Linked DNA regions of Rhinolophus ferrumequinum. The protein of the gene in region 1 purifies or fractionates together with the protein of each later gene. This does not show direct contact. Links are inferred from orthologs where the notes say so. Each region holds a gene or a part of one and is shown in the gene's direction. Other genes may lie near its edges.

The links.
Region 2: the proteins of IFT43 (region 1) and IFT140 purify together in Homo sapiens (affinity purification with mass spectrometry; 3 studies listed by BioGRID and IntAct, counting the BioPlex papers as one, with this or other methods). This does not show direct contact. The link is inferred for Rhinolophus ferrumequinum from reciprocal best matches to the Homo sapiens genes IFT43 and IFT140.
Region 3: the proteins of IFT43 (region 1) and TULP3 purify together in Homo sapiens (affinity purification with mass spectrometry; 5 studies listed by BioGRID and IntAct, counting the BioPlex papers as one, with this or other methods). This does not show direct contact. The link is inferred for Rhinolophus ferrumequinum from reciprocal best matches to the Homo sapiens genes IFT43 and TULP3.
Region 4: the proteins of IFT43 (region 1) and WDR19 purify together in Homo sapiens (affinity purification with mass spectrometry; 3 studies listed by BioGRID and IntAct, counting the BioPlex papers as one, with this or other methods). This does not show direct contact. The link is inferred for Rhinolophus ferrumequinum from reciprocal best matches to the Homo sapiens genes IFT43 and WDR19.

Annotation. Positions count from the first base shown.
Region 1 is NC_046289.1:22,841,328-22,848,558, reverse strand, and holds the start of IFT43 (intraflagellar transport protein 43 homolog), read left to right. Parts: upstream 1-4,222; 5' UTR 4,223-4,250; coding exon 4,251-4,307; intron 4,308-6,958; coding exon 6,959-7,048; intron 7,049-7,231. UniProt on the Homo sapiens protein: As a component of IFT complex A (IFT-A), a complex required for retrograde ciliary transport and entry into cilia of G protein-coupled receptors (GPCRs), it is involved in ciliogenesis.
Region 2 is NW_022680357.1:3,409,300-3,417,097, reverse strand, and holds the start of IFT140 (intraflagellar transport protein 140 homolog), read left to right. Parts: upstream 1-4,797; 5' UTR 4,798-4,927; intron 4,928-5,237; exon of another isoform or gene 5,238-5,390; intron 5,391-7,798. Other genes in the region: CRAMP1 (protein cramped-like), read right to left, coding at 389-734. UniProt on the Homo sapiens protein: Component of the IFT complex A (IFT-A), a complex required for retrograde ciliary transport and entry into cilia of G protein-coupled receptors (GPCRs).
Region 3 is NC_046293.1:87,867,605-87,875,609, reverse strand, and holds the start of TULP3 (tubby-related protein 3), read left to right. Parts: upstream 1-5,005; 5' UTR 5,006-5,073; coding exon 5,074-5,114; intron 5,115-8,005. Other genes in the region: RHNO1 (RAD9, HUS1, RAD1-interacting nuclear orphan protein 1), read left to right, coding at 1,054-1,221, 1,988-2,551. UniProt on the Homo sapiens protein: Negative regulator of the Shh signaling transduction pathway: recruited to primary cilia via association with the IFT complex A (IFT-A) and is required for recruitment of G protein-coupled receptor GPR161 to cilia, a promoter of PKA-dependent basal repression machinery in Shh signaling.
Region 4 is NC_046288.1:61,049,555-61,056,931, reverse strand, and holds the start of WDR19 (WD repeat-containing protein 19), read left to right. Parts: upstream 1-4,372; 5' UTR 4,373-4,505; coding exon 4,506-4,511; intron 4,512-7,096; coding exon 7,097-7,188; intron 7,189-7,377. UniProt on the Homo sapiens protein: As component of the IFT complex A (IFT-A), a complex required for retrograde ciliary transport and entry into cilia of G protein-coupled receptors (GPCRs), it is involved in cilia function and/or assembly.

The DNA of each region.
Region 1 (7,231 bases):
CTCCGGAAAGCTGTTATTCCTTCTTTCTCATGCTTCTTCCCCTATCTCTCGCCTCCCTTGCTCATTGCCTCGGACTTGGCTTTCTGCTTCCCTCCCTTTCTCTCCCTCCTGCGTTTCCCTCTCCCTCTCCCTCTCTCTCCCTCTCGCTCTTCTCCCTCTCTCACACACACACACATGCACACACACTGCTTTCTCTATTTCTCTCTGCTGAAATTTTATACCTCCCTCCGATGACGTCTCTGGCCCGGGTGGGGGAGGGAGGGACCAGCGCACGCAGCCTCTTTTGCTGCACAATTTTAATGTTTTAAACAGGCACAGGAAAAGCCGAGTCCATTTGAAAAATACTTTGCGAGTCCTCTAGTTCGACGTGGTAACTGAACTTTTTTTCCCCTCTTGGAGTCACTCCTGCTACACGTTGACTGTTTTTCTGGAAAGTTACTCCGATGAATCCCCTCCCTGCTTCTCCCCCAACTCCTTCGCCCTCTCCAGCTGTCAGTCTGTCCCTCTCCTCCGCGAGTCTCACTCCTTCCCGGGCCAGGCCCGATACTGTGCAGGGTCGGGCGTGCGCGGGGCCTGGGCAGGGGCGGCCGTGCCACCCTCGGTTGGGGCGATGCCCGGACTAGTTGCGGGCTTGGAGTTGGGTTCAGCTCCGCGGCGATCCTGGCCACGATTCTTCATTGACAAGATTGGAGTCGGGCAGCCTGCTGAAGCTTGGAGATGCTCCAGGGGCACTGAAAATGGTGGCGTTTTTCTGCAGATCGAGGGTGCCCTCTGGCGAGGCGAGGCCGTCAGTGACCGAGGCTCCGCGAGTCGGAGCCGGGAAGGCGAGGAGGGCTGGGGGCTGGGGGCTGGGGCTGGGGAGAAGGGGCTGCAAGAAAGGCGGAGGAAAACAAGCCTGAAGGCCTGGGGGAGTAGCCTCCCTCTCGGCCCGACGTGCGTACAAGTGCAACTCTCCCTCCCCCGAGCCCTGCTCTGCAGCGGCTCTTTTGCAGAAATGTCCTCCAGATGTTCGCAGCCTCCCTCCCCGCCGGGGGTTCCGCAGGGAACTGAGCCAGTGAGCGCAAAGTCAGCAGTTGGCAGGAGCCCATTTCCCAGATGGGTGAGGGGAAGTTTTCTCTTTTCTTTCGTTCCTCGTCTCAGCCTAAGCTTCTAGGTATTTTCCCAGAAGCTCGGGGAGGGCAAGACACGTCGCTTCCACCGGTCCCCCCCCCCCCCACCCCCAGACTTGCTCCTGAATGGATCACTTTCCTGGGAATCAGTGCTGCTCCCCTCCACTCCACCCCAAGCCACCTCATCCGGCCTTCCTGGACCCTTCCTGCCAGGTCTGGTTCCTGCTCCTGGCTCCTAGGCCATTAACTGAAGGAATGTTCACTGCGTCCCCAGACCACGGTTGATCAGTTTACACTGGAGGCAACTGAGGCACAGAGCAGCTTAAAAGTCCACTGCTTGGAGTGGTGGAGGTGATATTTTACATAAGCTCTCTAGTTTGGGTAGGCATTATTGTCGTTTGCATAACAAATGAGAAAACCCAGGTGTAGAAAACTTAAAAGTAATCTACCTAAGGTCTTATAACCAGTGTCAACACTGAGATTTGGACTGAGGAGTCTATTGCAAGAGTCTATGAGTTTAACTATTATGCTTTACTGCCTCTGGAATTCAGCCATCCTTTGACAAATATTTTTGGTGTTTACTATATACCAGGCACTGTTTTAGGCTCTCTGGATATGCAGGTGAATAAAACAAACAAAACCCTTGGCCTAATGGAGCTTACACTCTAGAAGTGGAGGTGGGGCAGTGGGGAAGGCAATCAACTAAATAAATATGTAAATGATGTAGTATGATAAAGGGTAAGTGCCATGGTAGAAAACAAAACAGGGAAGAAGGATAAGAAGTGTGTGTATGGTGGGGGTGAGGGGTGGAGGGGGTGGGCGGTGGTGGTGGTTGCAATTTAAAATAGATGTTGCAGTTTTAAAGCAGCAAAGGGCTTACTGAGGCTTTTAAGCAAACTTGCAAAATGGGAGGGAAAATTATCGAAGGTACTTTCTTCTGGACTCCACCTCTACTAAATCAGTCTCCCGGGATGGGGCCCTGGCATATGTACTTTTAACAAACTTCACAGGTGAATCTGGCGTCCAGCAAGTTTTGGAAGCCACTACTCTGGGGCTTCTTTCTGTCCAGAGTGAGCGTTGATCACCTCTTGCTTTCAGGAAGTTGGGGAAGAAGTAGGAGTGAAGGTTTGGAAAGTGGTTATAAGTTGGTGGTGGTATGGCTATGAGCTCACAAGAAATGAAAAAAATCCAAAGACTGATTCCTTCTTCCTCTTCTGGTGCCAAGAAAGAAGGGAACAAGGAACTCATCAGAGCCTATATTTTATCCATCTCGGATTTTTAGCAATGAATGTTTCTTCAGATTAAAATCGAAGAGTATCCTCAGTGAGAATCAGAGTTAGTGAATAAACGATCTTTGGGGTAATCTCTAAGAATAATTACAAGAGAGGAAACTGAGGTCCAGAGAGGCTCTGCCTGGCTCCCCAGGTAGTTGTCAGTAGAGCTAGGATGAGACCTCAACTCTTCTGACATCCAAGCAATGCTGTGACTGTCAACGGCATTGTGCTGTGGGGTGCTAAAATGCACAGTCCTCTCCAGTCAATATAGGTGGATGAATGGTTGAACTGAGCAATTTACTGAGTATTCAAGAAATGCTTGCAATCCAGTTTTAGGATTGCTACTTCCACTTCCACTTCCATGCCCTCGCTTTGAAGCGGTGGCCATCTAGGCCTTCCTGCCAGTGTAATACTGGAGACATTGCTCACTTTCAGTGCCATGAGCCCGTCGTCTGGGAGTCCCCGCTGACCAGTACCAGAGACCCAGACAATGGTGTCGACTTGGGGATCTTATATGTAGAGTCAATGAAGACTCAACTCACTCGCCCCATTAGGCTGGTGAAGGGGTTCAAAACAGGCCTCCCCAAGATGTGTCACTTGGGCATGTGAATTATTTTGAGCTGAAAACAGTCAAGACCCTGTGGTCTCATGACAAACTTTTATCTCTCCCTTAAAGAATTTACATTAGAGGCCTTGCCCATAATAAGAGTTATCACCAGAAATAACTTTTTATATCTATGTCTACTATGTCTATCTATAGGCCAGGGCAAACCTCTAATTACTGAACACCTGCTCTTCTTATTGTCCTGCAAATGACATTTGTTCCCTCTAAAGCCTCAATGTGCCTTACTTTATCCTTAGCTCAAAATGTCACATGTACCTCCTTTTCCCTCTTCATCTCTGAACTTCTCATGTAGGTGGCGGGTCTCTGACTTGCCCATGTATATGGGGTTCCCATACTTAAGTATGTAATTAAATTTGGTTATTTTCTCTTGTTAATCTGTCTCATGTTGATTTGATTATTAGACCAGCTGAAAGAAGCTAGAAGAGTAGAGGAAAGCTTCTCCTTCCCCCACACTGGGAATTTGCAGGCCATCTTACTCTGCTGGCCTAGGAGAAAGGCTGGCACCCAGGAATATGTGCTGGAGAAAAATACTCCAATAATACGGTGTCAGACAGCCATCTGGGTCTGCTGCTTAACACTCAGGTGATTTTCCTCAAGCCACCTCTTTTCATCTGTGTCCTCAGTTGTTCAATAGATATATTACTGCTGCTCATTTTATGGAGTTGTTGGAGGAATTACTTGACTTTTGATAGTTATTACTATTCAGGTACTTCATGTGTTAGTTCAGCCTCTCTAAATTTTTTGAAGGCAGAGATTATGTATATTGCATTTTCCGTTATAAACCATTTATTAACACCTGACCCCCTGTAGCCTGTTTTCTCATCTGTCCAATGGAGATAATAGAACTTATGTTGCTTCCCACACAAGATTGTTATGCCTTTCACACGAGCTAATAACTGTGAAGGTCCTAGGTGCGTTGCAAAGAGCTATACAAATGGGAGGGATCAGAATAATTGCTACTATTAATAGTGGTGCTGTGCACTTAATAACTTAACGTATTTTTAAAAAGACTAACAGTTTTTCACCGCCCCAGAGGAGCAGCCTTAGCGGGATTTAATATCTGGAGGTTTCTTCCGGAAGTCAAGCGAGGCAGATTTAGGAAATATTTAAGTTGGAGGATGGCACATAGAATCCGGGCACAACGCGGCTAACTTTAAATATTGGGACGGAAGGGCGGAGCCGTGGTCAGGGACGCCACTAGGCTGCTTGGTTTCCAGGAAGTGACGTCAGGCGGCCGCGGAGATGGAGGACCTGCTGCTGGACCTCGGCGAAGAGCGGCGCCGGGGCTCAGCCACCTACGTGAGGACCGAGGCGCGGGTGTCGGGGCCAGGACTGGGCGGGTGGGGAGGAGCGCTCCCCGCGGCCCCGGCTTCCCGGAGGCGCCTCGGCGCGGCTCGCCCCGAGCGGCCGGAGCGGGCGGGCCCGGAGTCGCGCTGGGGCGAGGCCTCAGCCGGGGCGCCCCGCCCCCGGGGCTGCGGGGGGCTCCGCTGCTGCTGGCCTGGCCTTTGCTTTCTGTAAATCCTCAAAAATGAAAAACAGATCCCAGCCCCGCCGGCCTCTGAGACGAGTGGGAAATTTCCCGGCTTCTCTCCGCTTTCTGGAGCCGCAGGGCCGAACTCCCCTAGAAAGTATAGTTCTGAGAGTGGCTGCAGGGGGGCCCCGGCCAGGGTCGCACTTGCAGCCATCCTAGAACTTTCCCTTCGGACTTTTCATGCCAGAAGTTCACCTACACACCGCACTGTTTTATGCTTGGAAGGCAGGCAGGCAGACGGGGAGGGACCTTGTTGCCTTTGACCCCCACGGGCTTTATAGGTAAGGAAATCAAGACTCATAACGTGGAGGTGCTGAGGCCCAGAGGTCAAATGGAATATAAAGTTGTCGCGTGGGTTTTAAGAAAGTTAACCTCTCAGGACCTAGGTTTATCTCCAGGATGGAGATGTTGATGTCTACTTCCGGAGTTGCAGTGAAGATGAAGTGATATAATGCACGGAAAACATTTGACACAGTGCCTGGGAGTTGCTAAGTTATTAGAAGAGGTTAGCAGCTGCTGTTCTGCAGCTGTGGTTTACCCAGGCTTGTAGAGGCAGTAACTAACCTACCTGGATTCAATACCCAAGTTCAGTGATTTTTGTTTTAATTCCACCATAGCCCCGTCAAGCCTTTTTACCTTTAAAATTGTCAAGATTACATTTACTGAAAGATTGAGCCTCTTGGCAGATCTTTAGTTTCTGCTGTGGAATCTAAGTGCTTTGAAGTCCTCTGATAGCACTGACTGTCCTCCAAGGTACCAGAGAGGAGCACCTCTCTGAGGGAGATCTGAAGGACAGGATCCTGCAAATTGTTCTAAGATGAAGCAGGTTGTTTGACTGACCAAGGGGAATATTAGGTCTCCAGGCTTTTCTGTTAGTACCTAAGGATGTACCTATTTAATACCTGCTTAGTTCTTCATTCTTTCAACAAATATTTATGGAGCCCCTCTGTGTATCAGGCATTGTCCTAGGTGCTGGGGATATAGCAGTGAATAAAATACAGTCCCTTCCCTCATATGGCTTACATTCCAGTGGGGGAAGATGGACCATAAACAGACTATACATTTAAAATATATAAAATCAGATAGTAGTTTTTCTACTAGTCATACCTGTGAATTTATACAGGGTCTTCAAAAAGTTTAAAACCTTCAAATACTTAATTATTAGAGAAACCATGTGTAAACAGCATGTAGAGATAAGATCATTGAATTTTTGTTTTAGCACAACCATTGTGTGTAGTATGCTGTATTTAGATACCCAATGCTATGATAAATGGAAAAGAGCTACCACGGATGAAGGAATAGAATCTGCCTTGGGTAGAAAATGAGCCACTTATTATCAGAAAAATTGTTTCCATCCCTGAAATTTAAATGATGGATTAAAATTTGAAATGTAGACACACCATAAAGGGTTTTTATGCAGCTCCCATATAACCCCTCTCAATTTATTGGTGCAGTCCGTTCTTGGAACATTTTAAACTGAAATTCCATCATGGTATAATGGCTAGAACTCAAGATTTGAAGACAAGAAGATTTTGCTCTTAGATTTATGTCTGCCACTTAATTACCTTCCTGGGCCCCAGTTTCCTCATTTGTAAAATGATATCAGTCCCAGTCTCTGTTATTATGAGAATGAAATAAAGCTACATCTCAGAAGATCTAAAAGTGTTTATATTATGCTAGCTTTTTAAAGCCAACAAATGAAAATATAAGTATTTCACCACCCACTAGTGTTCTTAAATAAAGTTTTGTTTATGTGCTGGAAAGCATTTGAGGCACACAACCTCTACCCTAGGAGGACTTTGGGAATCTGTAAATGGTTCATTTGATGACTCAGAATTTGAAGTGTTCTGATTTCCAAAGCTGATGTCTCAAAATTCTTGTAAGAGATTTTCTTTAATGTCTGTAAGTGGAAATCCAATTAGTGTATACGTCAAAGCAAATACTGTCTGTATTTCTCTGGTGGCAGTTGCCATGGAATTTAGGAATTCTTTCCCCAAAATGCCTTTTTGATAACTATTTTCACACCAACCGACAGCTTTGAAATTTGACCTTCCTAAACTCCTGCATAAGAACATGGGAACCTTTACACATGCTTCCCTGAGCTGTGGCGTGAGTTCTCTGCCCATTCTAGAGGAATAGCTAGCTGCATTTTTCTGGGGTAGAAAAGATCTATGGCAGTTAAAAGAAGACCTTATGGTCATTAACCCATGAATTTCCTGTTCTTCTATCAGATAGAACTGACTTCAGTTGCTTTGTGTTAAAGGTTTGGGGCGTTTTCTAAGAATATATTCAGGTTATTCAAACCCCATCCTCCACCACGTCATTGTAAATTCAATCCTTGCTTACCATCCCAGAATTCTTGTCCTCGTCGTTGCTTAAAGACATTTGGGTCAGCAGTGTCCCTCATTTCTCTTTACAGGGGGCCAAGATGGGTCGCCGAGCTCAACAGGAGTCAGCTCAAGCTGAGAATTACCTCAGTGGCAAGAATTTTTCAACTCTGACTGGAGAGGTAGGTGTTAAAAATCTGAAGAAATGCTCTGTTAAGAGTTAGCGATTACTTAATGAGCACAGATTTAGTATTCAGCATTTCTTCTCTCTAATGCCAGCTCTCCCATCTCTTGATTTGGGAATTCCCTTCCTTGGCATTTGTCCTATTAGTTAGAAATGAAAAAGAAACATTTTATCTTTGATG
Region 2 (7,798 bases), on another chromosome or scaffold:
CCCCAAAGGAGTTGCAAAAACCCATTCCTTTGTTGTATTTCCACGGTCTGGCAAAGAGAGACCCCAGGTATTTTTTCTCTCCATTTCTAAACTATTGTCTGCTGTGTAAAAGAGCCTACCATGTAAATCATCAATGATCCTTTGAGATTAAAAACACCGAACCTTCGGGAATCTATTGTACCTGCCCAAAGAAAGGATACTTAAAGCCTCTTAGCAGAGTTTAAAAATAGAAGGAAACAGCCACTTTGGAGGAGAAAGGGGGCACGTCCCCTCCAGAGTGCGACCCCAAGTGAATACTGGACACATGCGAGAGCGGGATCAGGAACTGGGGTGGAGGCCAGGAGGCGAGCGGACTGCACACCCTGGAAGGGGCTGGGGTCCCCCGTACCTTTTCCGCGGGGCCCGGAGCTGCCAGCGCCGCTGCTCCCCCCGGCGCAGGACGAGTCCTTCCTGAGCCTCTTGCTCTGCGGCCTCACGCTGGACCGGAGGAAGTGGTGCTGGTCCTGGGGGCAGGCGGGCGGTGGGGATGGGGCCTGCGGGCCGCCCGCGGGGGCCGAGGGGCCGCCGCCACCGCCCCGGGGGGTCTTGCCGTCCCTCTTTGTGCCACCGCCGTCCTCCGCCGCGTCCCCGCCGCCGGCCCCCTCTCCCTCCAGTGCGTCCTCATCGGCTGCCCTCTTGCCCAGCCTCTTGAGCCCTTCCTCCCCGCCGCCGCCGTCTCCCAACTTCACTGTCATCCTGCGGGAGAGGAGAGGGGCCCCGGTGAGGCCGGCGCGGCCCGGAGCCGCCGCGAAGTTTAGCCGCCCGCCTCCCTCTCAACATGGCCGCCGTTGTTTGTTCCAGGTCCTCCCGCGGCCCGCCCGCCGCCGCCCGGTCGAGCCCGCCGTCCCGGACCCCGAACCCCTGCCCGGACCGCCGGCCGGACCCCGGGGCCCAGGACACAGCGGCGCCGGGGCGGCGGGCGGCAGCTCGGTGGCCGCGCCCGGACGGCCCTGCCCGCGCGGCGCCCCAGCCCGGCGGGGTCGGGAGGGATCCGAGTCTGAGGTTCCAGGTTCGGGTTCCGGGGTCCCGGGGTCCCGGCGGCGCGGCCCAGAGCCACCTACCCGGAGGGGCCGCGGCTCATGGCCTGCGCGGCGAGCAGCCTGCGCGCTGGCCTCGCTCCCCACGCTGCCTGGGCCGGCCGGGCCTCGGCGCCCGCGCCCCCCGTCCCCACCCCTCCCCACCCCTCAAAACGCGCGGGGCTCCGGGCCCGCGCACCTGCCCCGCACGGCGGCCCCCGAAGTTGGCCCCTGAACGGGGTCTAGGGCCTCGGATCCACCCCGGCAGGGGAGAGGCGCCGAGTGTCCTGCGTGCACAGGGAACTCCATAGTGGCCCGCGGCTGCCTGTCCGCCTGCTTATTTTTAAACAGACATAAAGAATAATAAGCTTGGGGTTTCTGGGAATCCTGCTTCCCGGGATGGGAGATGTGTGCTGCTACGGGGATTTACGAAATAAAAATGTTTTTTTGCAACAAAGGAGCCTGTTGCATTGAACAGGTTGGGGCCAACCCTGAAAGGGACACAGCACAGTTACGTCCAGGTCCAAATGCAAGGCTGGGTAGAAGAGAACTGTGTGAAAACTCTTGGTAACCATTAATGCACTTCTTGCATTAACTTTGGTACTCACTGCCGTGTGAAATGTCACGACAACAAAAAGCGATGACTCTTTAAATGTTTGCACCCCCAGAAAGCTGACCCACTCAAAAATAAAGGAAGAGAATCAGGTACTTATCTACCAGGGTAAGCCCAGAAATAATAACGTGTGCAAGCGAGGAAGCAAGAAAGAGAAACGAGTCCTCAACAGGTGTTGATGCTGTGCCCAAAGTAAAGTGTGTTTGACAAGCTCAACACAACTGCTGAAGGACCATGACCTTTCCATTTAAAAGGAAAAACCAGAACAAGGCATCAAGGCTGACAACAAAATACAGTAACCGGGCCAAGGACCTCTCGGGAGAAAGATTTGGAATCAAGCGAAAAACCACAGCAAGACCTCTGACTGCTCTGACGTCCTGTCACAAAATGATCTGCACAATTTTCGTCTGCGGTAAGGGATCCTACACGTTTGAATTCATGCTAGTTTAAAAAAGACTGCCCCAAGAATAGACCGATGCAAGACAAAGATGCAAACGTAAAGAACTTCATTGCACAGCCATTCTCACTATTCACTGCTCATCCTATCCATTTCTCCTTAAGATACCTGAAAACATCTCAAAAGGCCTTGCTCCGGGTTATAATGTGGGGAAACCCTACCTCCAGGGGTCTGGCGTCCCCAAGCGACCCACAGTCAACCCAGGGCTCAGGCAGAGCATCCATCAGCCACAACAGAAGCAGCCTGCCCGATTGCAAGGTTGACTACTGGAAGACAAACTGATCACTGAAGGGCGTGGGTTTTCAAAATTAAAAGGATACGAACACAGTTCAGAGTTTTCCCCTCAGGGAAAAGGAAAACACGGGGACTGAAAACCTTTTACCGAAAACCTCCCACCTCACTTCCTCATCGTGCAGAGGTGGAATCACCTCCAGCCCAATCCCGGCTCGACACCGTTTGTCACGTTTCGGGCAAGGAAAAGCAAAACCCTTCCTCTCGGGCCGATTTCTGGCTGCACACAAAGCGCGCTGTCAACGCAACACTTCTCGCTCCGGGCTCCCCCGAATCGCTCCGACAAAGCACCGCGTGCGTAACCACCGCCGCAAAGATGCAGGCCGCTCCCCCGCAGCCCTGCTTCAGCTTGGAGCCCGGCCTTCCCGTGACAGCCGGTCGACGTGGCCCATCCCTTCCCAGTCCCAGCCTCCGGTCACCTTTTTCATCAATGCCTCGCAGCAGCCTGGCTTCCCGGACCCCCCGGGGGCCTCCCGGGCGCCCGCAGATCCGGCCGGGCTGGGCAGCCCCGGGCCCCGAGCGCTGGCTGCAGCGAGGCCGCGACTCCGATGTGGTACTGCCGCCTCGGGTACAGTCGCCGAGCAACAGTCGTAGCCCCGGCACGTTCCCTCCGCGGCCGGGGTGCGGCTGATTGGGCTGCCGGCGCCGGTGCTGCAGCCGCGCAGCCTCCCGCAGACCCGGCGAGCCGCGCTCAACAGCAGTTCCGGCTACGGCGGCCGGCGGAGACCGCAGAGGTGGTGCGCGGGGCGGGGCCCGGGCAGCGGACCGGGGAGGGGCGACGAGCGCGGGGACGAGCACGCCCAAAGTTTTCAGCGGGCGCACCCCTCTAGAGGCGCTCCCATTGGCCAGCAGCGAGCTAGCGCGCTTGCACGCACGGACGCTGGGCGGGGGCGGGAGGAGGGACTGCGACGCGGGTAATGTTGTGACGCCGTCTAGCGTCCTTGCGGGCTGGTACGTCTCTCTGGATTGGTGGATCGACGGCCAATAAAATCAACGCCAGGGCTATGATTGGCTGGGGACGTGTTGACGGATGCGTGAGAAGAAAACGCCGCCTCAGCTCCGAATCTTGAATCTGGCGCGAAAGAAAAAGTGTAAGAGTGCAACTGAGGCAGATGAACACACCCTTTATTTAGCGTGTGCTTTTGAAGCTCTTTAGCGTAGTGGGTGGTGCTGAGTATTTAGGCCCTTTTTCTTCGTTAGGGAGGTAAAGGAGTGTCTTAAATTCTTGTGTTTATGGGGAGGGAATAAGAGTGAAGTTGTTTAAGGATACAAACTTGTATGAAATAGTAAAAGAAGCCATAGCGATCTAATGACCACTATAATGAATATAGACAATATTGTACTACAATTAGTAATGGAATAAACTATATGAGCTATTACAATATATAGATCACGCTGTATACCCTAAATTTACACAAATTTATTTTGTGTAAATGTCAAATTTATTCAATAAAAAAATTCTAGTGTTTATGAAAAGGGTGTTTTTAACAATAGAATCTTACTTGTATGCTGGCACCAATTCCGTCTCATCCAGTAGTATCCACATTTTCCTTTTGATTTTCATTTAATCATGTGGACCTTTTTGCTACCTTTTGCTATAGTAACTTTTTAAAATGACATTTGCTTTGTTTTTCAAAGTTAATTTCAAAGTTAGTTTAACCACACTGATCGTAAAGTCAGAGCGCGTGTTGCTAATGCCTTTTGGAATACAGTCCGCCGCCAAGAAATCAGGTTACCCAAACCTAATCAGGTTACCCAACCCATCCCATTACCTAATGGGATGAACTCGTACCAGTCAGTGGCTACCATTTATCTCATCAAAGGCATCCATAGGGCGCCCAAAGCGTTGAACGCATATGCATGTCATAAATTACCTAATAACTTCAAGAAGTATGTTGAATCAATTGAATTGCTTTTTCTCAGAAATACTCTTGAACCAACTCCTGCTCCTTAAGATCAGACAAGCAGAGCATAGAAACAGCCTGGAGTCCAGAAGATCGAGCAATAAGAGTAGTCAGACAAGAGAGATTCTTAAATAAAATGATGTTCCGTTTCTCCACCATAGTCTCTGCTGCTTTCCTCCACTTCCTGATGAATCAACGCGGTTGGAAAGGTATAACTATGGGAACGGGTCGCAAAACAGGCTTTGCATCGCCATCACCCCTAGAAGAATTTCACCAGCTTCCCTTCTCTGCGCAGAACGGTAAGTGACTTTATAAATCATTTGGCCTCTTAGCCCCTCTTTGCGAGCTAGCGTTGTTGATTCTTGACCGTCGCTACGCTGGGGGGGAAGCTGCCCCGCAGGACCGCGGAGCTCGAGGCTGGCGGGGATCAGCAGAGAAATCTCGCCCTCCGCGCTGCACGGACACTCCCGATCTTCTTCGACTCTTTCCGGCCTCTCGGGGAGCTTCGGGTGGGCTCGGCGTCCGCGTCGCTAATCTTCGGCTGTTTTCGTGTTCCGTGAGCAGCCGTTGTCCTGGCAACGCGAGGCGGCGCTGCGGCCCCGCGAAGGTACTAGCGGTCTGGGGCGAGGGCGGCCGGGGGCTGGGGGGTGAGGGGTCGGAGGTGGGTGAATCGTCGGGGGGTGGGCCGGGAGCCCCGAGAAGTGCGATGACTAGGCGGGGCCGAGAAGGTTCTCGGGTGGTGCTGGAGGTGGGGGGCCCGGGAGGCGGGCGACGACGGGGCGGGAACGGGAAGGGGCTGGGACCGGGCGGTGGGGTGGGAGGACGGGGGCCAGGAAGAGGGCGACGACTAGGCGAGCGGGACCCCATCCCGTGCCCTCCCAGCTTATTTTCGTCCGGAAATCCGGTCTCGGCCGCTCTCTCGCGGCCCCTCGCGGGTAGGTCAAGGCTTAGGGGTTCCGCGCGCGGCGTCCAGAATGGTCAGCGCGAGATGATGGCCACATCTGGTGCAGTCCAAGTCCGATTTAGGGCCGCGTGGCTGTGTGAGCCCCGGCGGAAGACCGGATTGAGAGGTGGGCGATGCTGGCAGAGCTCCCGGTAACCTGGGGCTGGGAGAGAATAAGAAACCAACTTTCTGCGCGGCCTGTCCTCGGCCCAAAGGAGCCACACCGTCCCAACTAGTGATGGCTTTCCTTCAGGTCCTCGGGATGCAGCTCTGACCCCGCACGTCCTGAGGCTTGGGGCTTGTGGCCTAGAGGATGAAGCTGTGCAGGGTGGCCACTAGTTCCTGCCCCCGACGCCCCTCCACTCAGCGCCTATTGCCCCAAAGTCCTTCGGGTTCCCTCGTGCAGCATCTCCAAGCAGCAATGCAACTTAAATTAGCCTTAGAACCACGAACCGCTCGGTTGAATGAGCTTAACAGATTCTTTCCCAAAAGTTGGTTTAATGGAGGCCGTATGTTGGAGGACCGTAGCTGAGAAGAGCAAATTGGTTCGAACAAATGGAACTTTTTTTCTTTCCCCAAAGTTGATACATTTACCAAAGGCGTTTATGTGCTAGAGACCCTGCATTTGTTTTAAGGAAGAGAAGTGCTCTGTTGTCTGAACTCATGCCATTAATAGATGTCATTGGCAATGATTTTATTGTTAGTCATCTCTCCTCGTGTTTCCTTGGTAACTTTTGTGATTACTCAGATAATACTTATACATTGTAGAAAAATGTTCAAATGCAGGTGAAAGGGATGATGAACAATCCTAGGTGGCATAAAAATGTACTCATTCACCCTGGCCTGTAACCCACTTTTTACAGCTTTCCTTGCTAATATCTTCATCAGGGATTCATTTATTGAAGGCCTGTCTGTGCAAGGGCCTGGGGAGGCCCCAGCAGTCCCCCACTGTGGAGCACATAATCTAGAGGGAGTGGATGATGGCCGATCAAACACACATTTATAATAAACGCTAAATGCAGCCATGAAGAAGTACAGGGTTCTATGGGGACACTGGGTAGAAGCACAAACAACCTACAAGTCAAGTGCGAGAGCTCCCTGGAGGAAAGGAGACTTCCTGAGTACCCAAAGGAGGGGTTTGGGGGAGACAGAGCCTCTGGGAAAAAAGCCCCAGACAGGAGAAAAGGAATGTAAAGATCTGTTAGCATACATGCTTATTACAAAGTGATGTTTAAAATAAAAAATAGGGAGGAAATCAGGTTTAACTTTTTCAAGTGCTATTATAATTCTTTCTCCATCATTACAATATTGACATGTTACTCATTTTGGAGAGGAATATTTTCACAAAGTAAACTTGTGAACTTGTGAGTAACAAATTTCCCATAGTCCAGAATTGAGACGCTTGGTTGGCGGCAATACATTCAAACACAAAGGATTTCCTTTGCTGTATTAAATCGCCAGGTGTTTATCTGGTGTGTTTTCATTTTTAATGGCTTTATTTGAAGGTTTGCATTAGGACTTAAAGAAATCGGAGTCCTGACCAGTGTAGATGTCCCCTAAGTAATGGGTGTGTGCAGGTAACCCCTGGAGTTACCTGCAGTCCCCCAACCCTCCTGCACCTCCAACTAGTACCTGGCTGCTTTACCAGGAGCCCTGAATAGTTGCCCTGCAGTTTGTGGTGGCGAGAGCACCACCTCAGAAATTGTGCCTTTGTTTAATATTCAAGCTATATTCATAAGAAAAAGGTAAACATTTGGCAGGTGACTGTTCATTTGTACCTCCATGTGTTCCAGCTTCTCGCTAAACAGTTTCCTTCTCTAGATCCAAACAGCCTTCAAGTTTCCCTCTGATAGAACTACTGCGTTGCTAAAAGCAAACGGCATAGTCCATTCCCTACTCTGATAGAGTGATAGAATTTTGCAGGTGTTGAATAATCTTTTTTGCACAATTTGTTGTTAAATATACATAATATAAAATGTGTCATTTTAACCATTTTGAAGAATACAGTTCAGTGGCATTAAATACATTCACATTGTAGTACAACCATCACCACCATCATCCCCAGAACCTTTTCCATCTTCCCAAACTGAAACCCTGTGTACATTAAACATGTCCCCACCCTCCCAGGAGGCCCTGGCAAACATCAATCTACTTTTTGTCTCGATGAATTTGCCGACTTCAGGTACCTCATAGAAATGGAATCTTACGTTTGTGTCTGCCTTATTTCACTTAGCATAATGTCCTCGAGATTCATCCACGTTGTAGCATGTGTCAGAATGTCCTTCCTTTTTAAGGCTGAGTTGTATGCATTGTAGGAATATACCACATTTTGTTTATCCGTTCACCTGTTGGTAGACATTTGGATTGTTTTCCATCTTTTGGCTACTGTGAATAATGCTGCTTTTGGCTACTGTGAATAATGAATATTGGTGTACAGATACCTGTTCACGTCCCTACTATCAATTCTTTGGGTCTCTACCCAGAACTGGAATTTCTGAATCATGGCAATTCCACGTTTAATATTTAAGGAACCAG
Region 3 (8,005 bases), on another chromosome or scaffold:
CTCACAAAGCCCCTCAAGTTATTTTTTTAAAGTATAAGTCAGATTATGTCACTGCCCTGTCCAGAACCTGTCAGTGGCTTCCTATCACATTAAGAATAATTAAATCCAGAGTCCCTAACCTTGCCTGTAAAGCCCTGTGTCACATGAACTGGTTCTCATCTACCACTCTCCAGTTCAGCCATGCTGACCTTATCGTTTCTTGAACGAGTCAGACATATTCCCACCTTGTGGTCTCTGCATTTACTATTCTTGCAGCCTGGAATATTCTTTGCTCACATCTTTCTATTGTTTGCTTGTTCTCCTTTCTTCATTCAGGTCTTTGCTCAAATATCACTTTTTCAGATACTGTGTTTCCCCGAAAATAAGACCTAGCCAGACAATCAGCTCTAATGCGTCTTTTGGAGCAAAAATTAATATAAGACCCGGTCTTATTTTAATATAATATAAGACCAGGTATAACATAACATAACATAATATAATACCAGGTATAATATAATGTAATAATGTAATATAGTATAATACCTGGTCTTATATTAAGTTTTGCTCCAAGAGACGCATTAGAGCTGATGGTCCGGCTAGGTCTTATTTTCGGGGAAGCTCGGTAGGCCTTCCCTGACAACCTTGTCCAAAATAGCACTCAGTCAGCCTAACCCCTTATCCCGCTTGATTTTTCTCAAGTCTTTGAAACAGGGACAGCCTGACCTCTGAGTCCCAGCAAGTGCTTGGCACTCAATAAATGATCCTGGAATAAATGGTTATTCATGTTTGAATTCCCAAAATCCAGCATGGCACTTAACATATGCTCGATAGATGTTCATTGAACAAATGTTGAATGTAAACTACTGTGTTTTAAGGTGGTAGTGTAGGTATAGGAAGCTGTGCTCCCCACAACCTTGAGGTGGGAGTGGTAAGTTGATAGTGGGACTGGTTGGACGAGTATGAGGAAGAGCTTTTGTTTCTTCTCTGCAGGCATGGGTTGGAGTGGAAGCTTCTCTCCGGACCTGACTACAGCCAGCACCATGTGGTTACTAACTGCTCTTCATTCACCTATTGATGCCTCCCAGAAAAAAACGCCGCCAAACGTCCCAGAAAGCCCAGCTGCTGTTCCACCAACAGCCACTAGAGGGCCCCAAACACCGCTATGCATCGCCACAGTATCCCATCACCCACACTGTGCGGGCACCCAGCAAGCCCATTGACCACAACACTATTACTTCCTGGGTAAGCAGTGGGATTCCTACTTTCACTTTTACTCTGTTAAGCTTCTCAGAATACTGACTTTTCTGCTCGCTGAACCAGGACCTCCAAAGAATAAGATTCATGGGAGCAGGGACAAGGAGGCAGTATACTCTTTCTGTCTGTTGTCAGCCATCTCTTCTGCTATATCTTCTTTTCTAAATTCCAACTGAGGCATAGGTTAGTTGGAATTGGAGTCTTCCCCCCACATTCCTCTGAAGGAGTTCAGTATAAAAGTTTCATTACCCAGTACCTGGGTGAGAAAGCCGGATAAATGGCAGAACTAGTGAAAAATGAGATTGTTTTCTGAGCTTCATGAGAGGTATAGAGTATTTAGGTACTCTATTTACTCGTTAATAGATTGAACCTCAAATAAACCCCACAGAAATGGCATGGGTCATATTTTGACAGTTTAAAAGCCCTGGGAAGAGACTATAGCTACCAAAGTCAAGGAAGTAGTACAGCAAAAGCATAAACTCTGCTTAGGAGTGCTTAATAAATATAACTTGTTCAGGATTGCTTAGACAAGGCATAATACTTGCTCCACGATAGTAGAAACTTAAATGTTAGATTGCCCAAATCTTACATGCCTTTCTATTACTGTTCCATTCATTAGACAGGTATTTTTGTTTTGTGTCCATTACTATAGTGGGTCCCATTTAGGATTCTGGTTGCTGGTCATTAGATGTAGTTGCCTACCTAGGTTTATACTTGGTACTTAGCTATCCTTGCCTTTTTTTTTGATCCTTAGGTATCACCTCAGTTTGATGGAACAGCAGAAAGCTGGTTCCCAGCCAACCGGAAACGGAAACGTCATCACCGAGACCAGGCAAAACATTCAAGTCGAAAATCTACCACCTCCAAGTTTCCACAGCTACCATTTGAGAGTCCACAGTCTTCTACCAGTTCAGCCACACTTGGGATCCCCTTAACCAGGGAGTGCCTCAGTCAATCAGAAAAGGACATTTCCGGAAGGCGCTTAGTTCCAATGCTCAGTCCCCAGAGCTGTGGGGAACTGTCAGCACATGCACTTCAAAACTTACCTTATGTGTTCATTGCACCTGATATCCAGACCCCAGAGTCATCTTCTGGAAAGGAGGGGCCCATTCCCCCAGATCAGAGGGAAAATAGCCTGTCAAACTACTCCCTTCACACTAATACTCCCGAGAGCCCGGATCCTGGGCCTGTTCTGGTTAAAGACACTCCTGAGGAGAAGTATGGGGTAAAGGTCACATGGAGGAGACGACGAAACCTCTTTACTTACCTCCAGGAGAGAGGGAAGCTGAGCAATAGCCAGTTCCTTGTGAAAAACTGACTAGATTTCTCAGACAATAATCTCAAGAAATTGATTGCTGGTTTTCACTGAGTTGCTAAAGTCACTTTTCCAGCTCACAGAAGGGCACATCAGTAGAATAAAATGGAAATAATACCAATAACACCAATAGAAGAAAGGTATTTTAACTAGAGCCCTGGAGTCATAAGGGAATTCGGTTCCCAGATTTGCTTGTTTAAGTATGTTGTTATAAACAATTTTTAGTGTATAGACAGTTCACTTTATATTTTTCTTGTATTAACAGTTTAAAATTTTTAAATATCTTGTAGTAACTGTTTAAAATGTGTTTGTAAATAAATGGCCACAGAAAATTTTTCGAGAACCCTGATTCCCACTGCCAGTATGTGCCAATACTGCCCCCTCCATAATAGGTCTTCCTTGTTTGCTTTTACCACTACTCATTTATCCTTTAATCACCTCATTCAAACTAATAATTCATTACACATTTTTGAGTACCAACTCTGTCAGGCTCAGTGGCAGCTTCGTCTATGACTTGATGGATGAAAAAACTCAAAGCAAGCTCTGACTTTTTATAGTTGAGCTGCCACCTGTGCAACCTTGGCTCATGTGCTGAAGAAAGAGCAGCAAGCCGTGTTTGGCAACAGTAGGATCAGGGGTGGTAAAGGGGACATGTGTAAGTTACTTAGGTTTGCTGTGTTTCGATTTTTTATTTCCAGCCAAAGCTGTAAAGAAATAAGGTGGGAAAATGATTTCTTGGGGTAACTGTTTAAAATGTATATAAATAAATGTGGAAACTTTTCAGAGAATACTAATTGTAATTAACCTTTTCACTGCGTTGATTGATTTCAAGTTCTCCAAAATGTGTCAAAAATCCACAGAAAATAATTACAGTATTTATATTTTTAAGTAAATACAGCTAAGGTGCGACACTTTATTAAAAGAAATGATTAAAGTATAAAAATGTCCTATTGTTATTCATTTTTGAACAACACAAAAATATAGAAAAATGTGCATCTGCTTTCCTAAACTTCCTTTCTGGAGCCCTGAGCTCGTGGGGTAAAGTCAAATGCCCCAGTTAGTGGCATGGAAATGTCATTGGACTATAGACGAAAGTCGCAGTGAAAATGTTAGTGCAGTACTGCCCGGTCAACAAAATCCTTTGACCAATACAAATAGCATCTCACGCAACTCCATTCACTCAGCTTTAAGAAGCTACTCTGTGTCAGGTCCAGTCTCAGGTAGACGAGGATTATTCTGTTTGTTATAGATGGGAATTGGAAGCACAGATAATGAACCATGTTCAGTGTCACATAGCCAGTGGAGGCTGACCCAGCAAGTGCAACGCTCTGCTTTTCTAACTTGTGCCAACCTCTAGGCCTCTTAGAAATTCAAAAGCAATGTGGAAACAGCTTTGACTTTGGAATGCTATAAACGAAACTCAATCTGTGATAACTTCTGTCAGGATGTTTTGTAGGGACTATAATGCTGTATGTAAGTTGTTGGAGAGAAAGGAAGTGATGGTTGAGGACAAGATTTATTGGAAACGAGAGTACAGATGTAGATAGTGGATTTCCTTAAGGTGTTTGGATGTCTGAAGGTGGTCCATAGGTAAATTCTGTGTTTCCCTGAAAATGAGACCGGGTCTTATATTAATTTTTGCTCCATTAGGGCTTATTTTCAGGGGATGTCTTGTTTTTTCATGTACAACAATCTACATTTATTCAAATACAGTCATGTCATCTTCTGGAACATCTTCATAACGTACTAAATGTATCCATCTGGCTGAGATCTTAACTGGGGCTTATGTTCTGGGTAGGTCTTATATTCAGTTAACACGGTAGTAAAGACTCTTAGGAGAGTGTAGAGCAGGTCTAGGAATGCCTTAAAAGCTTGGGCTGGAATCGGGGAGGCTGAGGGAGTTCTGTGCTGTTGGAGGGCCAGAGCAGGTAACTCTAAGATGCATTCCAGTGGGAATGACTGCTGGCGAGGCTACAAGTGTGGTTCCTGGTTAGGCTCTGGTGTGTCCGGAAGGGATCCGACTGTGAGGGAGCTGGCAGAAGTCTGTAAACCCTAACATTACAGACCTCGGGAAGCGCTCTGGGATGGTTTCTGTGTGCAAACCGCGGGGGTGCGGGGAGGCCGTTCCATGTGTGGCGGTTAGTGGGGGTTGGGCGGCTCCTCCGACACACTGGCTTCCTGGCGGCGGGAGCCAACGCCGCTGACGGAAACACATTCTTCCATCTCGGCCCCTTCTCCTCTCGGCGAGCTCTACAGGGATCCAGAACTAGCGCGTCATCCCCGCGCGGGCGCAGGCGCCGGCGCTGGCGCCTTTAACTCGGGGTTCCTCTGTTCCTTAGATACCCTCCCGCAACGCGGCAAGAGCCAATAAGAGAGGAGCGGCGGGCCCGTGGGCCAATAGGCGGTGGCGACAGTGCGTGGTGCGGTTGTCAGGGGGCGGGGCCGGTTGCTGGCCAGGCTTGCCACCCTAGCAGCGGAGTAGGTGGCGGGTTCTGGACGTGCTGGCCACTTTCTGAGCTGCGGTGATGGAGGCGTCGCGCTGCCGACTCGGACCCTGCGGGGACAGGTCAGAAAGGGGTGGTGGCTGGTCTCATCTTGAGTGGGGCGGAGGGCCGAAGGGAGACAGTGGCGGTCCTCTTTGGAAGCTCTGAAGGACAGGGCGGTGGGCTCAAGTGCGGGAGGGAGGGACTGATTTGCAGCCTCCTCTCCCCTCCGCGGCGGAGGACCCCTCCCTTTTCCCGGGAGAGCGGTGGGGAGCGGCGGCTGCACCGGGAGCAGGGACTTGGTGTTCAGTCCCTGCTTGGGAAACTCCGGGGAGTTTTCGTTGTGAGCTCGCCTTGCCCTCTGCGGGCCTCGCTTTCACAAAACGCGTTAGCCCTGTGCCTCACGCACCGCCCAGGAGTGTCATACATGAGATTGGATGAAGTCTGTCCCGGGGTCATCGAAGCGAAATTTAATAATTTGCTCTAAAGCCATCGCTTTCGGCCGGCAGAGCTGAATTCTGGAACAGAATCCGAGGGCTGAAAACGCAAAACTATTCTTTTGCTTCGATGTCCTTTATAGTAATTATCTCTTAGTCAGGATTGGCTGTCTTGCTTGCAACGTACCAAAGCTCCCCTTTCTCTGCCATGTCCCTTTTTTGTACCTCGGCCAGAAGTCAAACGACCCGAAATCTCAATTTCTTTTTTGCCAGCTTAATGAAAAGTTAATGGGGAGCGGCGCGAAATCACTGCTTTAAAACTTTGGCATTGTCTGAAGATTTAAATCTTCCACCTCAACTCTACTCTCCTCTTTTTAGACCGTTACCACGGCAAATAAAGATTTAGCATGTAAGGATTTAGTCTGATATTTAGAATAATAGGTATTTAAACAATTCTAAACCATTTAAAACCGTCGCGAAGGAGGCATTGGGGTAAAGAACACTCATTTTCTTCTTTCATCAGGTTTTATTTACGTAATAACTGCTGTGTGGAATTTGTTCACTGCACTTTTTTTCAAGTCGACAGAAAAATAACCTACATTTTGCAAGTATAAATATGGAGGTGCTCGGAGGATGTCAAGTTAAAATTGAGCGTTTTCGTTGAATTCAGATGGTATTTCTTCAGTTGTGGGCACTCAGTAAATCTTAACTGACTGAATTTAAGGCAGTGAATTTCATGGGTACGAGATGTTTGATATGACTTATGATTTTGGTGTGTGTTGGGGAACATGGAATTGACTTTGAAATTGAGAATTGTTAATTTATTGGACCTGAAGTTTCAAGGGATAATTTTAAAGTTTTCCCCCTGTCTTCTTCCCAAAGAAACCAGCTCTTTAATTTAGAAATTGACATCAAAGGGGAATGTGTGAGTCACCAAATGTTTCTCCTGCCCTAGGTAATATTAGTGCAGCCTCTATTACTGTTTAACTCATTTGTTGTTGAGAGAGAGAGTGGAATGTCTCTTGCTTTTTTTGGCTCCTGGTTGTGTGTTTAATGTTTTTCATGAAATACATTGAAAGAGTTTTTGGCATTAATACCTTTCGATGTGAAGTATAGCATCCAACTTTTAAGTTTCCTGTGACTTTTTTCCTTCTTTGAATTATGTGACTGTTTTACCATGAGGCAGATTTATTTTCAACAAAGTAGAAAAATTATTAACAAATAAACTTCAAATATTTTTCCTATATCTGAAACATTTAGTGAGAATTGGAGCTGGAATTTGAAATAACACCCAGGACCTTTGTTGAGCCTACTAGGCATTTGACATTATAGATTCCCTGGAGATGACAGTGGTTGGCTGGTGCTGGAATGTGAGCTCGCTCTGGCCTCTTGTTCCTGATGAAGAATTGAACTTGTGGTAAGAGAGACTTTGCAGTATGATGTGACCTTGTGACCCAGAGGTGACTAAGAAAGTCCTCATCTGTCGTTTATCCATATGCCACGATTTCTCTTTAGAACTATGAACAGTAGTGGTAGCTGGAGCTTCTGTCTTGGCCAGGCTTGTTATCCTTTTCATGTTCTCCTTTTTAAAAATGTTTCATCAGATCAACAAATTGTTGGCAAACAGACTTAGCCAGTGCTTAAAAATTCTTAGATTAACTAATACGTGACTACAGTATGTTTGGCAAATGTCAGAAAGTACAGTAAAGGCCTGATAACATCTAACATGCATGTGTTTCACCAATTGTGAAGGCTACATACAGACCTAGAAAGGATAGAAAGTAATTCATTTCCTTTCTTCCAAGATCTTCCTGTCCAAGCAGACTGACTCAGACATTTTTTGGAATAGTTCCATTTCTGGCTTCTCGTCTTCCTTTCTGTGGAAACTCTTGTTTCCTCTGGATCTGTCCCCATTAAAAGAAAAGGTTAACGTTTCTTCTTACCAAGAGGAAAAGTATGCTTGAATTACTCAGAGAAGTAGTTAAAGCTGCCTTGCTTCTCTGTATTTGAGGACTTTAGGACTCAAAGGGCCTTGATAATTTCCTGAGTTCTATTTGAGAGTAGTTCCGCAGTGGAATTGTTAAGGCTTCTTTCAAACAAGAATTTTCTGTCATCGCCTTTCGCTCTATTTCCTCTAAGTCAATGCACTAGGAATAAACTCTTTGTACTGCTGAATCTATTCGGCCTCATCAGACGTCCTTAGTTCTTAATAATGAAACCTGCAACATTCTCCTGGCCTGGTTAAAGCTTAAATCCACTGATGCCTGAGAGAAGACACATTATCCATATGCTGATTGATATGCTGTCTTTATCCGCTCAATACTTGGTGTGAGTCTTGATAATGGGGTTGTCATCTCTGCCCCTTTCTTTGCCTTAGAACTTCTGTGAAAACATTAATGACGAGCACTGTATCATGAGTCACAGGACCTCTGGAGGATCACAGTTCTGAAAAGAATTATAGTAGTCCTTTTATGGTTCATAAGAAGATGGCACTTGCTGTTTTACCACATGGCACTGTAATGAGGGTGAGACACTGG
Region 4 (7,377 bases), on another chromosome or scaffold:
ATGAATGAGAAAGAAAGAGAAAGAAAGAGAGCAAAACAGATGGAGCCAGGCTCCATCTTTAGAAATTCTGTTTCAATAAATCTGGGTTGATGCCACCCCAAGTGACCTCCGCCCTAACTAATTCTAATAGCAGATATGATTGAGAACTACTACTCTATATGAACACAAGGGAAGTAATACAAAAATTTTCCCCTTGAGAAAAAGAATCATTAACTTGTAATAGACTCAGGACTAATTTTAATTTCTTAATTTCCGTGGCTATTTGATTCATAGCCATGTATTTTCAACTAGTCATGCTTGGCATAGAACTGGACAAAAATAATTGGCTTAATGTTGAATATTCAATTTTAAGTTTAAAATTAATGATATATAATAGCAATTAATAATTTTTAAATGACATTAATATTTTTAGCTACTGATATTAGTTAGAAAACCAAAGGGAAATGTCTTCAATTTAGGATCCCCTTATCAGATATTACCTTTGAATACACTATCTTTCCCTAGTTATTAATTGCTATGCTTATTAGACCTCATTTCTATATGAGTAGGGAATTATTATTTCCTTAAATGGCCATCATTTTAAAGTCAGGAAGTCTAAATGATAAAGGCAAAAATATAAGATGATCAAATACTGGCATTTACTATAAATGTAGTGTGCAATAAGAAAAACTCTATAGTTATATCTATTTATTTCCAAAACCTGAATTCCATCTAAATTTCCTAACTCTTTTATCTGTATTTAGCATTAAAGGTCCTTATTTTCCATCCCTAATGCCATGCTATCCCTCTTTCTCTTCACCTTGGAAACTCTTCTCTATCTCGCTCTCTGGAAAAACATTTTTCTGATATTATAGCAAGTTATGTTATTCATTTTTTTCAGTATCATTTTGACAAGTTTCATGCAATCCTTACAGTTTTTAAGCAGATTCTGACAAACATGCTTTTTCATAATGCCATACTTACGCAAATAAATTATTTTTCTGAAGATTGCTATAACAGATATTTCCTTATACTTAAATAAGCAATCAACTTTAACATGTCTAGCTTTAAAAATTAATAGCTCTGTGCGCTCTGGAATTACCCTCTTCCACAGGTTGTATAATGGCTTGAATAACTCTTCAATGAATCTCTCCTAAACAAGCTGACACCAGATCCTTTCATGTTCTGCTTCTTAAATTTTAGAATGGGAAGCTGGATTTCCCTTCTTTCCCAAATATGGTATTACAAAAGATTTTGCATTCAAGTAAGGACACAGGCACTTCCAAACAATACAAATATTTCCCAAAGACTACCACAAAGAAAAATATTTCCATTAATTTTTAAGCTCCATTACAGGTAAGAAAAGCGAAGCTGATAATTATCATTACAATGGCAACCATATTAAAATAGGTAAATGTGTCAAATTAACATTTGTTAATTTGTACACCTTACACGATGTTATACCAAATACATTTCAATTAAAAAGAAAAGTGAAACTGCGGAAGTTAAGTACATTATCTAAGTTACTAAGTAGTTATTACTGGGTTCAAATCACGTTGTCTACATCTTCCACTGTACTTCATCACTTCTAAATTCCTTTTTTGTGTTATCCACCTATTGAAATCCTACCAATTCTGTCAACCTAATGCGAAAAACAAGAATAATAAAAAACAGAAAACTAGGCATTAATTGGGATCCCTGATTTATATAAAATAATAACAAATGCTTCTTGCAGCTTAAAAATAATAAATTAAAAAGTGACTTTCAGAAGACATACCCTAGGAAAAGATTTGTTACTTTGTAAACTAAATGTAAAAATCATATAGACTGTTTTTAGTATAACACATATGACAAAAAGCAAAGGGGATTTAGGAAACAATTACTAGAGATCAGTGTAATCCACAGATGGACATAATGAGCATAGCTTGGGAACATGTTAGAAAGGCGAATTCTCCAGAAGCACCCCAGAACTGCTAACTCAGAGACTCTGGGGATGGGGCTGGCAATTTGTGTTCACCAGACCTTCCAGATGATTCTATTACACACTAAACATATCAGATACACTGAAGTCAGAGAACCAATGATCTAAATGATTTAGCCCAAAAGCAACAGAAGGGAGTTGAAGAAGAAAGAGATGACTTACTTCGTCTGGGAAAACTAAAAACAATTTTATTAGGATTGTTGCTTTTCTATTGCTCAGGACTGAGCAGGCTAATAAATGTGTTATATTTACTATCGGACCTAAATAAATGTGTTAAATTCACACACATACCATAATTATGAATACACAGTAAAACTGGCATATATAGGGGCAAAAACTGGAAATGGGCCAAAAAGAAAAGTGTGTTGATATCAAGATTTTGTTTTCTTTTTTTCTCTTCTTAAATAATTTAATTTTCCCTAAAATCAAATTAGGTAGGTACTGTCCCATTTTAGATTTGTGTGCACAGATTCAAAGGAGAAAATTTGCTCAAGGTCAAAGAACTAATAAATGCCATGAACAGGTTTAAACTGGGGGTTTATGACCAAGCTCAATTCATTATTACACCATGCAGTCCTTAAGGGAATCATATTTTACAATGGAAAAACATTTAAATATAGAAACATATTATAAGGCTATGCACACACAAATAAAGCCCTGAAAAATCCAAATGTGTGCTTAATACTCATATTTAAAGGTTAAATGTGCAATGGCCATTACCTACCAGTTTTGTTTAGTAAATAGGTTTTTAAGAAAACTATGTTCACAAGTCTTCAAAACTTGTAAGCCAATTTCCTGAAAATACATTAAATTGACCATATTATTATGTAATTTCATTTAACTTGAGGTAAAAGTGAATGTTAAAAATGAAAAGATAACAGCACAATTTTATAATACAATAAATAACAATGGGTACAATATATCAGTAAGTTCTAGCTTTCCTAAATGGATGTCCACTCTTGCCAAGAAAAAGAAATAAAGACCATCCAGACTGGCAAGGAAGATGTCATAATACTTAATATAAAAAATTTGCAGATGTCATAATATTGAATATAGAAAATTCCAAGGAATCCACTAAAAACTGTTATAACTAACAATTGAGCAAGTTTGCAGGATATAAGTTCAATATACAAAAATCAATTACACTTCTCTACAATGGAAATAAACAATCCAAAAATGAAAAACTTTAAAATTTATGTATAATGGTATCAAAAATAAAACAAAATACCAAAGAATAAATTAACAAAATAAGTAAAAGATTTGTCCACTGAAAATTACAAAATTTGTTTAAAGAAATTTTAAAAGAACAAAAATGTAAAGATATACCACATTTATAGGTGTGGGGACAGAGTCCCAGAGAGCAGTTTCCAGGTTCTCTGCCTCACGTGGAAAGGTGCTTGCTGGCTCTGGTAGTAGATGGCCATCAGCTGTGACTAGTTGGCCATCAGCTGTAATCAGTTAGCCATTAGCCACTGGTAGAACTGCCCGTGGTTATGCCGGCAAGAGTGGGTTGCAGTTAGGAAGGGGTTGGTTGGCAAAGAAGCTGACAGCAGGCTAGGGATTGTGTGGCTCCTTCCTGTGTCTCCAACCCAGCCGCCAGTGAGAATATAGTGGTATGACTCCCTTATTTATGGCTCTGTTGATGTTCCTTTTTGGCCTCACAATATCCTGTGTTCTTATGCGGGGAGCAGGACCAGACACCCCCGCATGACAATAGGTCACAGACTTTTTTTCCCCCCAACCTTAGGGGGAAGGCATAGTCTTCCACCATTAAGTTTGATGTTAATTAGTTATGTATTTTTTTTGTAGGTCTTTTTTGTTTTGAGGTTACTTTCCATTTCTAGTTTGTTTTTATCATTAATGCGTGTTGTATTTTTAAGGGTATGGGATTTTGTCAAGTGCTTTTTCCCCGTCTATTAATGTGATCATGTATTTTTGTGATCCATTATTCTATGCCACTCAAACAGGTTCTTAAGAGCTCATTTTTCATGCCAACTTTAGCTGGCCAATTTAGTGGGCCTATTAAGACCTTGGAATAGACTGCCTCTCACATCTCATTGTTTCTAACCCAGAAACCTGGAGGAAAAAAAAGATGATACTCATCCCAAGCCCTCTTTGCATGTACTAAAAGTATTTACCCTATGAGCCAATTCCCGCTTTGTGCCAACATTCAGCACCTTTCTTTTCTAGTCACCCTGGGCTTTTTACTAGCCATGAGCCGAAATATACGCAGGCGCCTTTCACAGAGCCCGCCTTACGCGGGCGAAGTCTCCAGGTCTTATCCAATCAGAGCCCGACAGGAAACCGAGGCGCAGCAAGGACTCGCAAAGCTGGCGTCTTTAGGCCTTGCTTCGCTGGCGTCACGTGATCACCGTGCCCGCCTTCCGCCCTGGAGCACCTTTTGAGGCAACTCCCTTCAGCTGGTGCTCGCTGATTGGTCATTGCTAGCGTGGTCTCCTGGGTGACGAGAACGCGTTAGCCGTTTTGGAGGAGAACATGTACGCCTGCGCTCTCGCTAGATTGCGAGGCCCGCGGAGCCTTTGAGATGAAGGTAAGTAATTTACGAAGCCCCCGAGGGCGGGAAGGCGGGACCACTAGCCCTTCCCAGCCGGCGGAGCATCCCCTTGACGATTGGGACAAATGGCCCCCTCCCTCATTCTTAGTGCTGAAGGAAGCGGAGTGACCAGGGAGGAGGAAATGGGGACGAAGTTGAAGGAGCGAGGGGAAAGGAAAGAAAATAGAGAAAGCGGAGAGGAAGGCCTCTTATTTCTGGAATCGCGACCGGAGTTGAAACAATGTGAGAAGAGGGAACTCCGCCACGGTCGGAAACGAGCCGACTGGATCTGAAGAGACCCCGAATTTCCCCCGGCAGAAGGAACCGGTCCAGTGACAGCGTTGGCAGGGTCGCGGTGAAATGGACTTATTCGGGTGCCAGGAGCTGCCTCATTTCTTACAGCGAAACCCCTGGCAAGCCGCGCAACTGCTCAGCGCCCTAAAAAGAGTGAAAAGACTCTGAAAGAATAATCTGTAATTGTATTGCTTGTGATTGATCCTATTTTCAGATCTCCTGGTGGCGAATGTGTATTATTCACGGAAAAATCTGCACACGCAAGTTTAGACGGTCAAGAGTGTCATCTGTACGCAGTGTTTCTAGGTTTGGGCTTCTCATGAACCCCACTCCCGGGCCACTGGCTAAAGCTCCCTTCACCTGCCCGCTTTACCACAGCAATACCTCCCTGCCCCGATCTTGCAAAGAAATGGAAAGCTCAATTTAAAAATTATTTTCTACGTCCTAATGCTTCCTTGTGGCTATTAGTGTGGAAATTGGAGCTGACAGAATCATAACTCACATTTCTGAAGCTCTTCACAATTTTTGAAGTTATCATAAGTGAGGAGATATTATTCCTGGTTTACAGTTGAGAATTCTGTGCTGAGGCAATTTAAACGACTTGCTTTAAGTCCTACAGCTAATAAATAAAAAGCAAAATTTAAACCTTGGTTTTATGGTTGTGAAGCTAGCACCATTTGCACTGTACTTTCCACTGTACTATATATAGCTCCTTTGAAGGAAAATAATGTGTAAGATAACAGCTAGGGAAAGTCTACCACTAAGCTAATGAAATTCAAGTTTAAGGATCCCTTGCTTGCATGAAGGGGTTCCAGGGCAGTGTGGTCACAAAATTGTAAAAGTAAGATGCTTTTATACTCTTTTTTTTCTTTAAGGGCGGCTTCATGCTCCAGGAAATTGGATGCACCTGTGATTATAGCACAGCTCTGTTTTCAATAGAGGTGGATTTCATCTCTTTAATTTACAAAATGCCTATTGATTGATGGTTAATTTTGAGCATGGGAATAATTGCCACTCAGACTATTAAGCCATGTGTAGTATGTAAACTTAGTATGCCTAGATGTGGGCATCACTGTTTAATCTGTAACTTAACCTAATATTAAAATCTAAATTTTTTTCATTCAAGCTCTATGTTCCTCGATGTTCTAGATCAGCACTGTTTGATATAAATATGTGAGCTAATGTAATTAAAATTTTTTAGTAGCAACATTAATATATTTTTAAAGAAACAGGTAAAATTCATTTTAATAATATATTTTACCCAGTAAATCCAAAATATTATCATTTCAACATGTAATCAGTATAAAAAATTACCAGAGGTATTTTGCTTTCGCTCTTTCATATTCTTTGAAATTCGATGTGAATTTTGTGTTTAAAGCACATTTAAATTTGGTCTACCCACATTTCAAGTCTGCAATAAAATTTCAAGTCTACCTGTGGTTTGTGGCTTCCATAACCACAGTTCTAGATTGTTGAAGTGAAAATAATGATTTTTCGATTGATACATTGTCCGCCCAATAGCCAAATTAAACACTTAATCATGAAGTAAATATAACGATTGGGTAAATGAAGAAAATAATTTTGAAGGAAGTGTATACATTTTGTATTTATATCATGGTTAAGATTTTTTAAATGGCAATTTTGTTAAAGTTAGTCTCCAAAAATCCATGCCACTGATAATTAGCTAAATTCAAGTTTAAATTATTTTACTCTTTAACATTTATAAAACATGAAAATTATACTTTTTTTTTAAAAGAGCACTTTTTAAAAAAAAAATTTATTGGGGAATATTGGGGAACAGAGTTTTTCTCCAGGACCCATCAGCTCCAAATCGTTTTCCTTCAATCTAGCTGTGGAGGGCGCAGCTCAGCTCCAAGTCCAGTCCCCATTTTCAGTCTTTAGTTGCAGGGGGTGCAGCCATCCCCTGCGGAAATTGAATTGGCAACTTCTTGTTCAGAGCTCCCGCTCTAACAAACTGAGCTATCCGGCCGCCCTGAAAATTATACATTTTTATAAAATTAATATTCAAAAACTTTCAAAAGCAAGAAGGTTTTATAATGAGCTTTCCCCAATATATTGAGGTCCGTATTCTACCAACCAGATTGTGATTTGTTTGTTTGTTGTATTGATTGATTGATTCATTAATGGTTTTGTTTGTTATATTGTTGACTTCTTTTGGATAAACCCTAACATAAGCCTTCACCATCCTGAGTCCTACTGTTTCCATGATCATATTTTGACATCGTTTCTGACCAACCCTTAATTGTATGTTTTCAAATATTTTTTAGCGTGTTTTCTCCCTGCTGGAAAAGACTTGGCTTGGAGCACCTATCCAATTTACCTGGCAAAAAACATCAGGAAATTACCTTGCAATAACAGGGTAAGAAACCAGTGAATGTTTTAAATAAATTATCCTCACTCCAAATGGTTGTATGCCCGGCACATAACTACACCATCTATTCAGGTAGAAGTTGTGAGATGGTGGTATGGTGGGAAAAGTAATATATTTATCTTCATTAGCACCAGAGTTTATAGAAGCTTTTCCCTGGTAATAGCTTTTTAGATACAA